2 linked regions of the Caenorhabditis elegans genome follow. The protein of the gene in region 2 purifies or fractionates together with the protein of the main gene of each other region. This does not show direct contact. Each region holds a gene or a part of one and is shown on either strand. Other genes may lie near its edges. The genes, in order: chin-1 and F42H10.6.

The links.
Region 1: the proteins of F42H10.6 (region 2) and chin-1 fractionate together in Caenorhabditis elegans (co-fractionation; one large-scale study listed by BioGRID). This does not show direct contact.

What each region holds. Positions count from the first base shown.
Region 1 is NC_003281.10:1,031,097-1,038,908, forward strand, and holds chin-1 (Chimerin 2), read right to left. Parts: upstream 6,117-7,812; 5' UTR 6,115-6,116; coding exon 6,084-6,114; intron 5,999-6,083; coding exon 5,853-5,998; intron 5,805-5,852; coding exon 5,688-5,804; intron 5,359-5,687; coding exon 5,210-5,358; intron 3,941-5,209; coding exon 3,790-3,940; intron 3,374-3,789; coding exon 3,083-3,373; intron 2,179-3,082; coding exon 2,027-2,178; intron 1,726-2,026; coding exon 1,656-1,725; intron 779-1,655; coding exon 620-778; 3' UTR 226-619; downstream 1-225. Other genes in the region: pnpt-1 (polyribonucleotide nucleotidyltransferase), read left to right, coding at 6,413-6,459, 6,509-6,588, 6,742-6,871, 6,948-7,089.
Region 2 is NC_003281.10:8,477,733-8,481,475, forward strand, and holds F42H10.6 (Putative esterase F42H10.6), read right to left. Parts: upstream 1,720-3,743; 5' UTR 1,709-1,719; coding exon 1,664-1,708; intron 1,605-1,663; coding exon 1,521-1,604; intron 1,442-1,520; coding exon 1,367-1,441; intron 1,266-1,366; coding exon 1,156-1,265; intron 921-1,155; coding exon 725-920; 3' UTR 650-724; downstream 1-649. Other genes in the region: mig-39 (Zinc finger BED domain-containing protein 39), read left to right, coding at 1-22.

The sequences.
Region 1 (7,812 bases), 7.4 Mb from region 2:
TGGTATTCTGAGTCAAATTTTCAGGTTCTGAACGGAGTTTTAACATTTTCAGCTAGCATTTGAGCTGCAGAGCAAAAATTTGGCGGTGTTTGGGCTTCTGACTGAAAATCATCGGTTCCAAGCCAAAATTCAAGGCTTTGAGCCAAAAACTGCAGAAAAATATGAAAATTTCGGAATTCAACGCGCCAGGGGTCTTAAAATCACAAAATTTTGAGAATTTTTGAATTACAGCTCAATAAATTTATATTCTAAAACTCGGAAAAAAACATTATGCAATAAGAACGTAACAACATGTGAAAAATAAGGAAAAATCATAAATAAATGCATAAAACTGGTCAAAAAACATGCAAAAGCGAGAGAAAACGGGTACCCGATATGTAAATGAAGAAAAGTATGCGGAGAGATGAGAGAAATTGCTGAAGAAAATGCATAAACTGGGAGATATAGATCTAGGAAAATGAAAATTTAGGCAGAGGTTCCCCGGGAAAGTGGTCAAGCCGGCTCGGTGAGCAATTAAAAGTCGAAAATTCCAAATTTTCACAATTTTTCATACGAAAATTTGAGATTTTCGACCCAAAATCGCCGATAGAGCACACTTGCCACCACGGGGAGCAATAAATTAATGATGTTTCGGCACGACACGTGGATTATTGATCAGAAAATGGAGCAGCTGATGGTTCGGCATGGCGGGTATGGAGCCCGAGCAGAAGAGTGTCGGCGAGAAAATTGTCGCCAGATTTTCGACGGTCATCTTGTTTTTTGCACTGTGATCTGCCACCTGGAATTGGGGAAATTTTTTGAAAAATTCCAGAAAATTTGTTTGAAAATTCGAATTTTTTAACTTAAGAACTAATTTTTTAGGGGAAAACTAAATTTCAAGCCAAATAAAAAATATTGGCCACAGCGGGGGTCAAACCTCGGTCTTGTGCTTGGCAGCCATCCGTGTTACCCACTGCGCCATCGGTGCAAGTTTTAAATTTCGCAAAAACTGGGTTTCGGGGTATTTCTAGGGGGTTTGCACTAATTTTTACACCTAAAAGCTATGAAAAATTACTAGAGTTGAGTTTTTAGAATATTTCCTTGTTCTTACGAAAAAAAATTAAGCGAATTTTGCAAAAGTTTGAGCCATAAAACTTTAAAACGCTATGAGAACCAATTCCAAGCAAAATAAAAGAAATTCGCCCCGGCGGGGGTCGAACCCCGGTCGTGTGCTTGGTAGCCATCTGTGTTACCCTCTGAGCCACAGGTGCATTTTTGAAAATTTGCGGAAAATGGGTTTCCGGGAATTCTTAGGGGGTTTAAACTGATTTTTACACCTAAAAGCGATGAAAAATTGACTAGAATTAAGTTATTTGGGGCTTTATTCATTTTTATAAGAAAAATTCGAAATTTGGACAGAAAATAATTCTAAAACTGGTTTTCGACACTTTTAAATGCTTTGAGAACCAATATCAATCAAAACAAAAAATTCGCCGCAGTGGGGGTCGAACCCCGGTCGTGTGCTTGGCAGCCATCCGTGTTACCTACTGAGCCACCGATGCATTTTCGAAATTTCGCGAAAATGGGTTCTAGGGTATTTTCAGGGGGTTTGGAGTGAATTTTTAGGTCAAAAACCTTCGAAAATCCACTTAAATAGTGAAATTTTGAATTTTTACCTTTTTCAAATGCGCCAACACTGCTCCAAGTGTGATTATGTTCGCATCGGACAGCTCCATCATCACTTTTCTGAAATTTTCCAGTAATTTCAGAATGTTTTCCAGTTTTCGAGAGAAAAAATGAAAATTTGGGCAGAGGTTCCCCGGGAAAGTGGTCAAATGGGCTCGGTGAGCAATTTTGGGTGGAAAAATTCAAATTTTCACAGTTTTTTACGCGAAAGTTTGAGATTTCCAAGTCAAAATCGCCGATAGAGCACATTTGCCACGGAATTTCCAAAAAAATTTTTTAAAGCTATTTTTTGGCTCATTTTCACCGGGATTTCTACAATTTTGGGAAAATTTTGGACCCAAAATCCCCAAATTTCCAGCACCTTATCTGCCGCTCCCTCTCATGTGTAGATCGTTGATTCGTCTCCTGGTAGGCGACGAGAAGCTGCTTATGGACGCTGAACGGGATCAGTTGCTGTGGTAGTAGGCGGAAGTAGAGCTTCAAGAGCCCGCAAACTGTGTGAATATCGCAAACCTGAAAAAATTGGTGAAATTTTGAGAAAAATTGAAAGTTTTTTGGGGTAAAAATGAAAATTTGGGCAGAGGTTCCCCGGGAAAGTGGCCAAATGTGCTCGGTGAGCAATAGAGGTCTGAAAATTCCAAATTTTCGTAGTTTTTTATGCGAAAATTTGAAATTTTCAGCCCAAAATCACCGATAGAGCACATTTGCCACGGAAAAGCATACAAAGACAATTTTAAAGAAGAATTCAAAAATTTAGTGAAATTTTTGTGAATTTTCTAGAAAACAATAGACAGTTTTTGAATTTTCGAATTTTTTAGTGTGAGAAAACTAATTTTTTTTCGATATTTTCCAGTAAATTTCAGATTTTTACACAAAAATTGAGTTTCAAGAAAAAATTTGAGTCATAAAACTTTAAATCGTTCTGAGAATCAATTTCAAGCAAAATAAAAGAAATTCGCCGCGGCGAGGGTCGAACCCCGGTCTTGTGCTTGGCAGCCATCTGTGTTACCTACTGAGCCATAGGTGCATATTTGAAATTTCACAAAAAACGGGTTCTAGGATATTGTTAGGGTTTTCAAAGTGAATTTTGCAGTAGAAAACTTGAAAAATTGAGCTGAATATGTGAAATTTCGAGTTTTTCGAGTAAAAATGAAAATTTGGGCAGAGCTTCCCCGGGAAAGTGGTCAAATGTGCTCGGTGAGCAATTCCGGGTGGAAAATTCCAAATTTTAGCAGTTTTTTTATGCGAAAATTTAAAATTTTCAAGCCAAAATCGCCGATAGAGCACATTTGCCACGGAAATCTTATTTTAGGTCAATTTTCTTCAATTTTTACGATTTTTGGCTCATTTTCTTTGGATTTTTGCAATTTTTTAGGCAAAAACTCCGGGAAAACGCTGAAAATCCCGCGCAAATTACCGTAGCCAAGTCCACATATTGATTAGAATCAAACTGTTGCTTGAGCTTTTCCATATGATCATAGGATCCCGAAACCCGATAAATCCCCTCCACATCAAGACCCCTCGATTCGACTTCTCCAATGCAAAGTGGCACGATTGGCGGCAAATCTGCTCCGTGAGCCATGCACAGGGTGGTAATGTCGACGCCGAACATGCGTTTCACGTATTTCGAGTCGGGCACACAGTCGTGAAGCGTTTTTTCCGAGCATTTTTTGTGAGCCGCGAAGCCACAGTCCTCGCATCGCATTCCCTGGAAAATTTGATTTTTTTGAAATTGTTTCTCGAAAAAATATTAATTGCGCTAATCCTTCATAAAATTCGAAATCAGCGCAAAATTTAGCCTTAAATAGCTTTAACTCAGACTTTCTAGCTCAATTTTGAAATTTCGCGGGGTACTGTAGCTCCAAAAGTACGCAAACACCGACTACAGTAACCCGAAACACCGGATCTTACGTAATTGCGAGATTTTTGCCTGAAAAACGAGTTCCGGGGGTAAAATAGTGCGGGGAATTCGAAAAAGGCATTAAAAATCCGAAGAAATTGCCAGTTTTTGCGAAAATTGTGTTTTTTTCATGAATTTTTTTCAAAAAATTCCAGAATTTCGCCCTAAAATTTCACAATTTCCAGTTTTTTCTTAATTTTCGCGTATATTTTATAATATTTTACCTGATGCACCAATCCCCACAGGAAATTTCGGCAATAATCACAGTAGTGCGGAGCTTTGAAGGTGTACGACGTGAAGTTGTGTGCTCGAGTGACGGGACGGCGTACAATGTCTGAAGTGGTGGCGGCGGCGTTCGTATACCGAGAATATGGGCTGAAAAATCGATATTTCTATGGGGAAAACTGGAAAAACCGCAAAAATCTAAACTGTTTAAGGTAAAAATGAAAATTTGGGCAGAGGTTCCCCGGGAAAGTGGTCAAATGGGCTCGGTGAGCAATGTCGGGTGGAAAATTTCAAAATTTTTCAGTTTTTAATGCAAAAATTTGAAATTTTCAGCCCGTAATCGCCGATAGAGCACATTTGCCACGGAAAAGCGTACAAAGACAATTTCTAGGGAGAATTCAAAAATTCAGAGAAAGTTTTCGAATTTTCTAGAAAAAAATTGGAATTTTTGACGCGTTTCGTAGCTTTTTAGCACTGAAAAATCTAAATTAGGGCAAAAAGACTAGTTTTTGGATATTTTTCAGTTTTTACCGTAAACTTGTCATATTTTTTCACTATTTTCCGATTTTTACATCAAAATTTGACCAAAATCAGGGAAAACTCAATTTTTCGGCAATTTTACGGTAATTTTGAGCTCTCGAAGCTTAAAATTAGCAATATTTTAATTTTTTCAAGTTTTTAAGGTAAAAATCGAAATTTGGGCAGAGGTTCCCCGGGAAAGTGGTCAAATGGGCTCGGTGAGCAATTAAAAGCTTAAAAATCCAAATTTTTGCAGTATTTAATGCGAAAATTTGAAATTTCTAAGCCAAAATCGCCGATAGAGCACATTTGCCACGGAGAAAACAGAAAGTAGGTTTGAATTATTTAAGTGAGCTTTTTATTGAAATTTTTAGAATTTTCTAAGAAAAAATTGGCAGTTTTTGAATTTTCGACGCGTTTTGTAGTTTTTAGCATTTAAAAATTAACGTTAGGGCAAGAAATCTAGTTTTTACCATATTTTTCAGTAAATTTCAGATTTTTCCCACTATTTTCCGATTTTTGGAGCAAAATTCAACCAAAAACCCGAAAATTTTGCATTTTTGAGCTATTTTACGCTTTAAAAGCAGAAAATTAGCGAAAATGTCATGTTTCCAAAGTTTTTGAGGTAAAAATGAAAATTCGGGCAGAGGTTCCCCGGGAAAATGGTCAAATGTGCTCGGTGAGCAATTAAAAGCTTAAAAATCCAAATTTTTGCAGTATTTAATGCGAAAATTTGAAATTTCCCGCCTAAAATCGCCGATAGAGCACATTTGCCACGGAATTTATATTCTAAGTCAATTTTCTTCAATTTTTATAATTTTTGGCTCATTTTCTTGTGATTTTTGCCATTTTTCATGATTTTCGGCCTATTTTTCGCTAATGTTCCGCCAATTCCCATACCTATCCTCATAAATCGCCTCATCCGCCATTCTTTTTATATAATCCGCCGCGTGAAGGTCCACAAACATTGAAATGAGCCCATCAGCCACCAAAAGGTCCATAGTGTCGAAACGCTTCTCCCCAACGTAGAATTGACCGTCGTAGTAGAGCTGGAAATTTAAAAATTTGGCTAAAAATTGAAAAAATCCCAAGTTTTTGAATTAAAAATGAAAATTTGGGCAGCGGTTCCCAGGGAAAGTGGTCAAATGTGCTCGCGGAGCAATTTTAGGTGAAAAATTCCGAATTCTCGCAGTTTTTTATGCAAAAATTCGAGATTTCCAGCCTAAAATTGCCGATAGAGCGCATTTGCCACGGCGAGTTAACAAAAATTGGGAATTTTTCACTAAATTCGAAAATTTAGCGGAAAATTTGATATTTTTCGGGTATTTTCTTGATGTTTATCGATTTTTTCTGCTTTTTAAACTCTAAAAATGCTTACTTTATAATTCATAACCTTTGCATCAAAAATCATACACAAAGTGCACGCGTCTCTGCTCCGATTCGACTCCCGCACCAAATACGAGCCTTCTCCGGCCTCCAGCAGCATTTTTTCGGCCTGAAAATCGAATTTTCGAGCTTAAAACACCCAAAAATCACTAAAAACCTCATTTCTATCGATTAATCCGTGAAATTCGGCTCCAAAATGTCGAGGTCTCTGCTGAAGAGGTTTTCGGCACAAAACTGCGTTGGGTTTCGGCGCTTTTTCTTGTAAAAGGTACAAATTTTGCTTCCAGTATCCTTTTGATGCTCCTGGAAATTGGAAAATTTGAGATTTTAGCTTTTCGGATATTTTTAAAGCTTCCAAAACTTGTTGAGCTTGAAAAAAATGACTTACCCGAGCTCCCAGGAGGCCCGTCGTCTTCCATACCTGCAAAAATTCGATTTTTATTGATTTTTTAACTGAAAATGCAAAAAAATCGAAGAAATTTGGAGAAAAATGAGCAAAGTTGAGCTAATTTCTTAGAAAATAAATAAAATTCTGAAGAAAATCGCGAAAAGTGCCAGCGATCGAGACACGCGCCAGCAAAATTTCCTTGGCGCATTTCTCGACCAAATTATTTTTTTAATTCAAAACTTGAAAATATTGAATTTTCACTCATTTTCGCTGTTTTTTTCTCAATTTTTCGATAAAAATTGAATAAAAATTAGTTTTTTAGATTAAAAATGAAACTTTCCCGGTTGCCAATCCACATTTCCAAGAGATTTCACACGTAAGTCAGAAAATTATTCAAAAAAATAAAAATCTGGCGAGTTTTCCAGGAAAGAATATCGATTAGCGGGTCGAGAACAATCAGTAGCAGTGGATTTTGATGGAAAAAGTGGAATCGAGCTGAAAGCTGGTGGGAATTTGAAAAAAAACTAGAAAAAAAACGGGAAAAATTGCTAAAAATCTTAAAAATAAAGATTTCGAGCCGATTTTTGCCGCAAAAGATGCGCGAAAAAATTCTCCACTGTCTAGAAAAGGAATTTTCATGAAAATTTTGATTTTTCAGGCCACCTCGCCCGTTTTGCGTCATCCACCGTAGTTGCTTCATTCGGAGACAACGCCGTGATGGCTACAGTAGTACAACGGAAATCCAAGCAAGGAGATGGTAGTGGAGTACCGCTACAAGTTGAATATCGGTGAGAAATTCGGAAAAAAAATTGCGAAAAAACCGCTAAAAACCGATAAAAATGGCCTAAAAACTGAAAATTCCAGACCGTCAGCGTCAGCAATTGGCCGAATTCCAACAAATTTCCTGCGTCGTGAGCTCAGTCAATCTGACAATGAAATCCTCATCTCCAGAGCCATTGACAGGTCGATTAGACCACTTTTACCCGGAAATTCCTATGAAACTCAGGTAAAACTGGGATTTTCAGCGAAATTCAGAGGTTTTTGTTGGAAAAATCGAATTCTACGCGAAATTCTGCCTTAAGACCTTTAAAATTGGGTTTTCTATCGCAATTTTTGGAGTTTTGGGGTACGGTAGCCCCAAAAGTACGCAAACACCGACTACCGTAGCCCAAAACACCGGATCTTACGACATTTTAAGATTTTGCCCTGAAAAATGGGCTGAGGGGCTAAAAAATCACGAGGAACCCGAAAAACACATTGAAAACGTCTGAAAAATTCTGAAAATTCTGAGAAAATCGAATTTTTCAAAAATTTTAGTGCAAAAAATTGAAAAACCAACGGGAAAAGTTAAAAATTCGAAATCAGCGCAAAGTTTAGCTTTGAACAGCTTTTAGTATGACTTTTTAGCTCAATTTGGAATTTCGCGGGGTACTGTAGCCCCAAAAGTACGCAAACACCGACTACCGTAACCCAAAACACCAAATCTTACGACATTGGTGGAAAAAAAGGGGTTTAGGCTTAAAAAATTACAAAAAACTCCAATTTTCTAGTTCGAAATTACTAAAATTGAGGGAATTATGTTTTTTTTTCCAAAAAAAAAAAGTTTTTAAACATAAAAATTTAAAATTGGTTAAAAAGCCGTAAAAAAGTTCCGGAAATTCCTAAAATTATCAGATTTTTATGAAAATTTTAGTAATTTCCATACTATTTCTCAAAAAAATTCATTTTT
Region 2 (3,743 bases):
TGTTTCGAAACTTTTTAATTAGATATTCAGTTTTTACATACTTTTCTGTCAGATAATACAGTATTTTCTCCTACTACGAGTCGTTTTATTCATTTTTAGCAGCTTCTTCCAACCCAACTCTCCTAGTCTCTTCTTTTCCCAGAACTTTCTATTTCTCAATGCCATTCATGCTCGTTGTTTCAAAACATTCACAAATTCCTGAAATTAATTGCTTTAAGACAAATTTGAATATTTCTTGCCCGCATACTCGGCAATCTCGCTCTATTGATGAGGTTTCGTAGAGCGTGTATACGTATGCATAATAATTCGAAATCTACATTATTTAAGACGCATTTCTAAATATAATTTATTATTGTATTTATTGATTTCCATCCAAAAAAATTAAACGGTGAATATTTTCTCTCTGTCCCATCTCTCGTTCCTTCAAATAAGAAACTCTTGAGCAAAACCAATGTGCAATTTTTAAACTTTTAAACTTCTTTCATTATTTTCTCCATTCCATGTCCGCTTTTCCTTGCACCAAGCATGTGATATTCCTTTTTTATTCTCGGCCCCCCAAATTCTCTACATTGTATTTTATTATTGTTCTCCCCCATTTTTTCTCGATATTTGCGTTTTCGGTGGCTTCTCACATTCTCCAAAAAAGTTTCAATAAAATATTTTTTATATCACAAATCGAACCCAAAAGAAACAATTATTATGCAAAAAGAAAGAACAAACATAATTAAAACTGCGTGCCATTTTCCACAGAAATTCCAGGCTGATTTGGAAGGAATGCTAGAGTATGTTTTCCCTTTGCCGACATTTTTCCATCCGATTTCCGCCGGAATTCACAATCGGTAAATGCCATTGTTCGTCCGACTTTCAATACGTGTGCAGTGATTTCCAGAACGTCTCCAACTTTGACTGGTAGAAGGTAGCTGAAAAAAGATTTTTTTAGAAAACAAACCACTTCTTTTGTTTCTTAAATATACCTAATTCAATTTTTGTGAGAAATTCAAAGAAACAATTGAAATATTTTGAATAGTTTTGAAATGGTGTGATGGCTCCACTTTTTTTTTTTTGATAGATGATGTCATTTTCAATTTACGCGAAAAAACATCAGACTTTACAATCTGATTTTTAAAATCATACTATTGTTAGAGCAAAGTTTACCTAACAGCCAGTTCAACAGAAGCCATTCCTTTATCTTTTACTGTGACTCCAACTGCCCGAGCGGTGATAACATCTGTCAGGGTAGCAGTTTGACCGCCGTGAAGTGTTCCCTGAAAAATTGCGATAATTTTTCGGAATATTCATTTTTCTTTAAATTTAATTTTACTGGTATTTTAAACAAGTTTTCATGAAATTTTAGGACTAAACGCACTTTTGAGTTCAAGTGTTGATGCTGCACCACCATTTCACATACCAGCTTGCTCTTCGTGACCTCCACCGGATAAACCTGAAATTATATTTTGAATTAATATATTTTGAATGAAAAAAAATTCCTAATCTTAAACTATTATCAAAAAAAAACTGACATCTTCAGCCACTCGATTGAAATTTGTGGAACCTTTCATTTTGTTGAAAACTCGAACTTGCTCCGCGAGCAGCTCTTCGCTTGTCTGAAATCTATTTTCAAATTAAATTATGTATCTTTTTTATTAATAAATATGTAACATACCGGTTCAATTACAGCGTCAGTAGAAGACTCGGAGTGGCCAACCATTTTTCAGGTGAGAAAATCTGCAAAATGACGAATTAATTTATATTATCAGGAGATTGTTATCAGTTTATCAGTGAAAGGAGCATTTCCGCATATTTGAAGAAAAGAAAACGTTTCAAAGTAAAAAGTACGAAGTATACTGGAATCGCAGCCCTCACAGCCGGAGCGGAATGATGAAATTAATTCACAAAAAAGAAACAAAAATGTTTGCGGTAGAGCGCATTTCAACAAGTTGTAGATGAAAATTTTGTGCATGTGCCTTTAAGTCTACAGTAACTCTACACATTTTTTAAACGGTCGAGAAAGCGCAAAAAACATAAAAACGTGTCAAGTTGAGGGGATATGTCAAGGTTATTCTCTAAAGACAATCCTCATCCGAAGAACAATCTGACCCGCAACGGGAAAAAAAGATGGCTACGAGAGATATCAGACACAGACACAACGACAACACGTGGAGTCAAAAAGTCCCATTTCGTTTTGATCTTCGAAAAATGCGGGAAAAGAGACGCATACATCTCTTCTCGTTTCGCATGGTTAAGAGCGTGCTGACGTCACAATTTTTCTGGAAAAATATTCCCGCATTTTTCGTAGATCAAACCGCAATGAGAACAGCCTGACACCACGTGCGACAAGGGTTTTAGGACATTGGCATTGCAAATAGTTTCTTCTTTATCTTAAACAAACAAAAAAATCAAAATATTTTCCAATTTGTGTTGGTTTTCATTCAAAGATTTGTATTTCTTCAAGCCACAGATAATAATTGTATTTTGTCAACATAAATGTGCCTTCTCATGCGGAAAGAATGTGGAGGGCGGATATTGAAATAGATTCGAATTGAACTGAACATGTTTTTCTCTATCCTTTTTCCTCTTTTTTCCTAGTCAAAGTTATTTTGTGCCTGTTAAATGTATAACATTGTATATCCGTAAAAACTCTTTTACCTGTAATGCACGATTTCTTGGTAATACAGTATACCTTACCAACTGACCAATGTTCTTTAAAATATAATTAGCATTGTTTTAAGTGTGAATCTCAGTGACTCATTTCATTTGCTCACACTGCACGTCAGCTGTCGTACTCGTTGCTCTTCTTTCCGGAAAATGAAATCGAAAAGGACACTATTTTTGCTCTTTTTACGTTTCAACTAACCCGCTTTTCTTTTGTCACTTTACTTTATTGGCAAATTATTGGCTTTCAAAAAACCGAGGTCTCGACACGACCCAATGTTTTAAAACGATTCTGTACCACCAATGAAGTGCGCATTGAAATAATGCTGTAGTTTTGAAATTCTTCGGAATCTCTCGTTTTTTTCACATTTTCTTCCACATTTCGCATAAGTAAAAACTACTGTACTTTTTGAATGCGCACACTCATTTTTGCGACCTCCTTTATAAATACAATTTTTGGTCGTCTCGAGACCAAATACCGTATTCTTTTGCAAAAAAAACGGAAATCTTCAGGTCTATAACAGTTGTGCCCACGAAAAATTTTCGAAGCATTTTTTCCAACTGATTGGTGGAGAATAATTTCAGAAAGTAAGCATAATTTTGTTTATAAACTTTTTTTTCGAAAAGACTACGTCTTCAATCTAGGCAACCCCTTCAAACTCAAAAGATGGAAAAAGGAAAAAATCCTTCAATTCAACTGAAAATCATTCGACTTTCAAAAGAAAAAAGTGTATTGGATATCTAGTGTTTATCTCAGTTTTTGCCCCGGACATTCCAGTAACAACAATACGGACATTAGTTCCGCCGCTCCGAATCATCATCATCATCATCACAATGGGAGTGTGAAACGGAACCTCCGGAGTCTACAAAGTCGTCTTCTTTGCCTGCTTCTTCTTTCTCTTCTCAATTTTCTTAGTTCTTCACTCCTCAGTATTACATTCTTTGCAGTGTTTACCAGTACGTTGTGGGTGGAGACGGGTATCACATTTCATTCAATCATAATTTCAATGTGTCCCTTTATTTCATCAAACAATCTCTTGTAGAATTACTATATATCCTGTTCACTACAAAATTGTCGCAATCAAAAATTT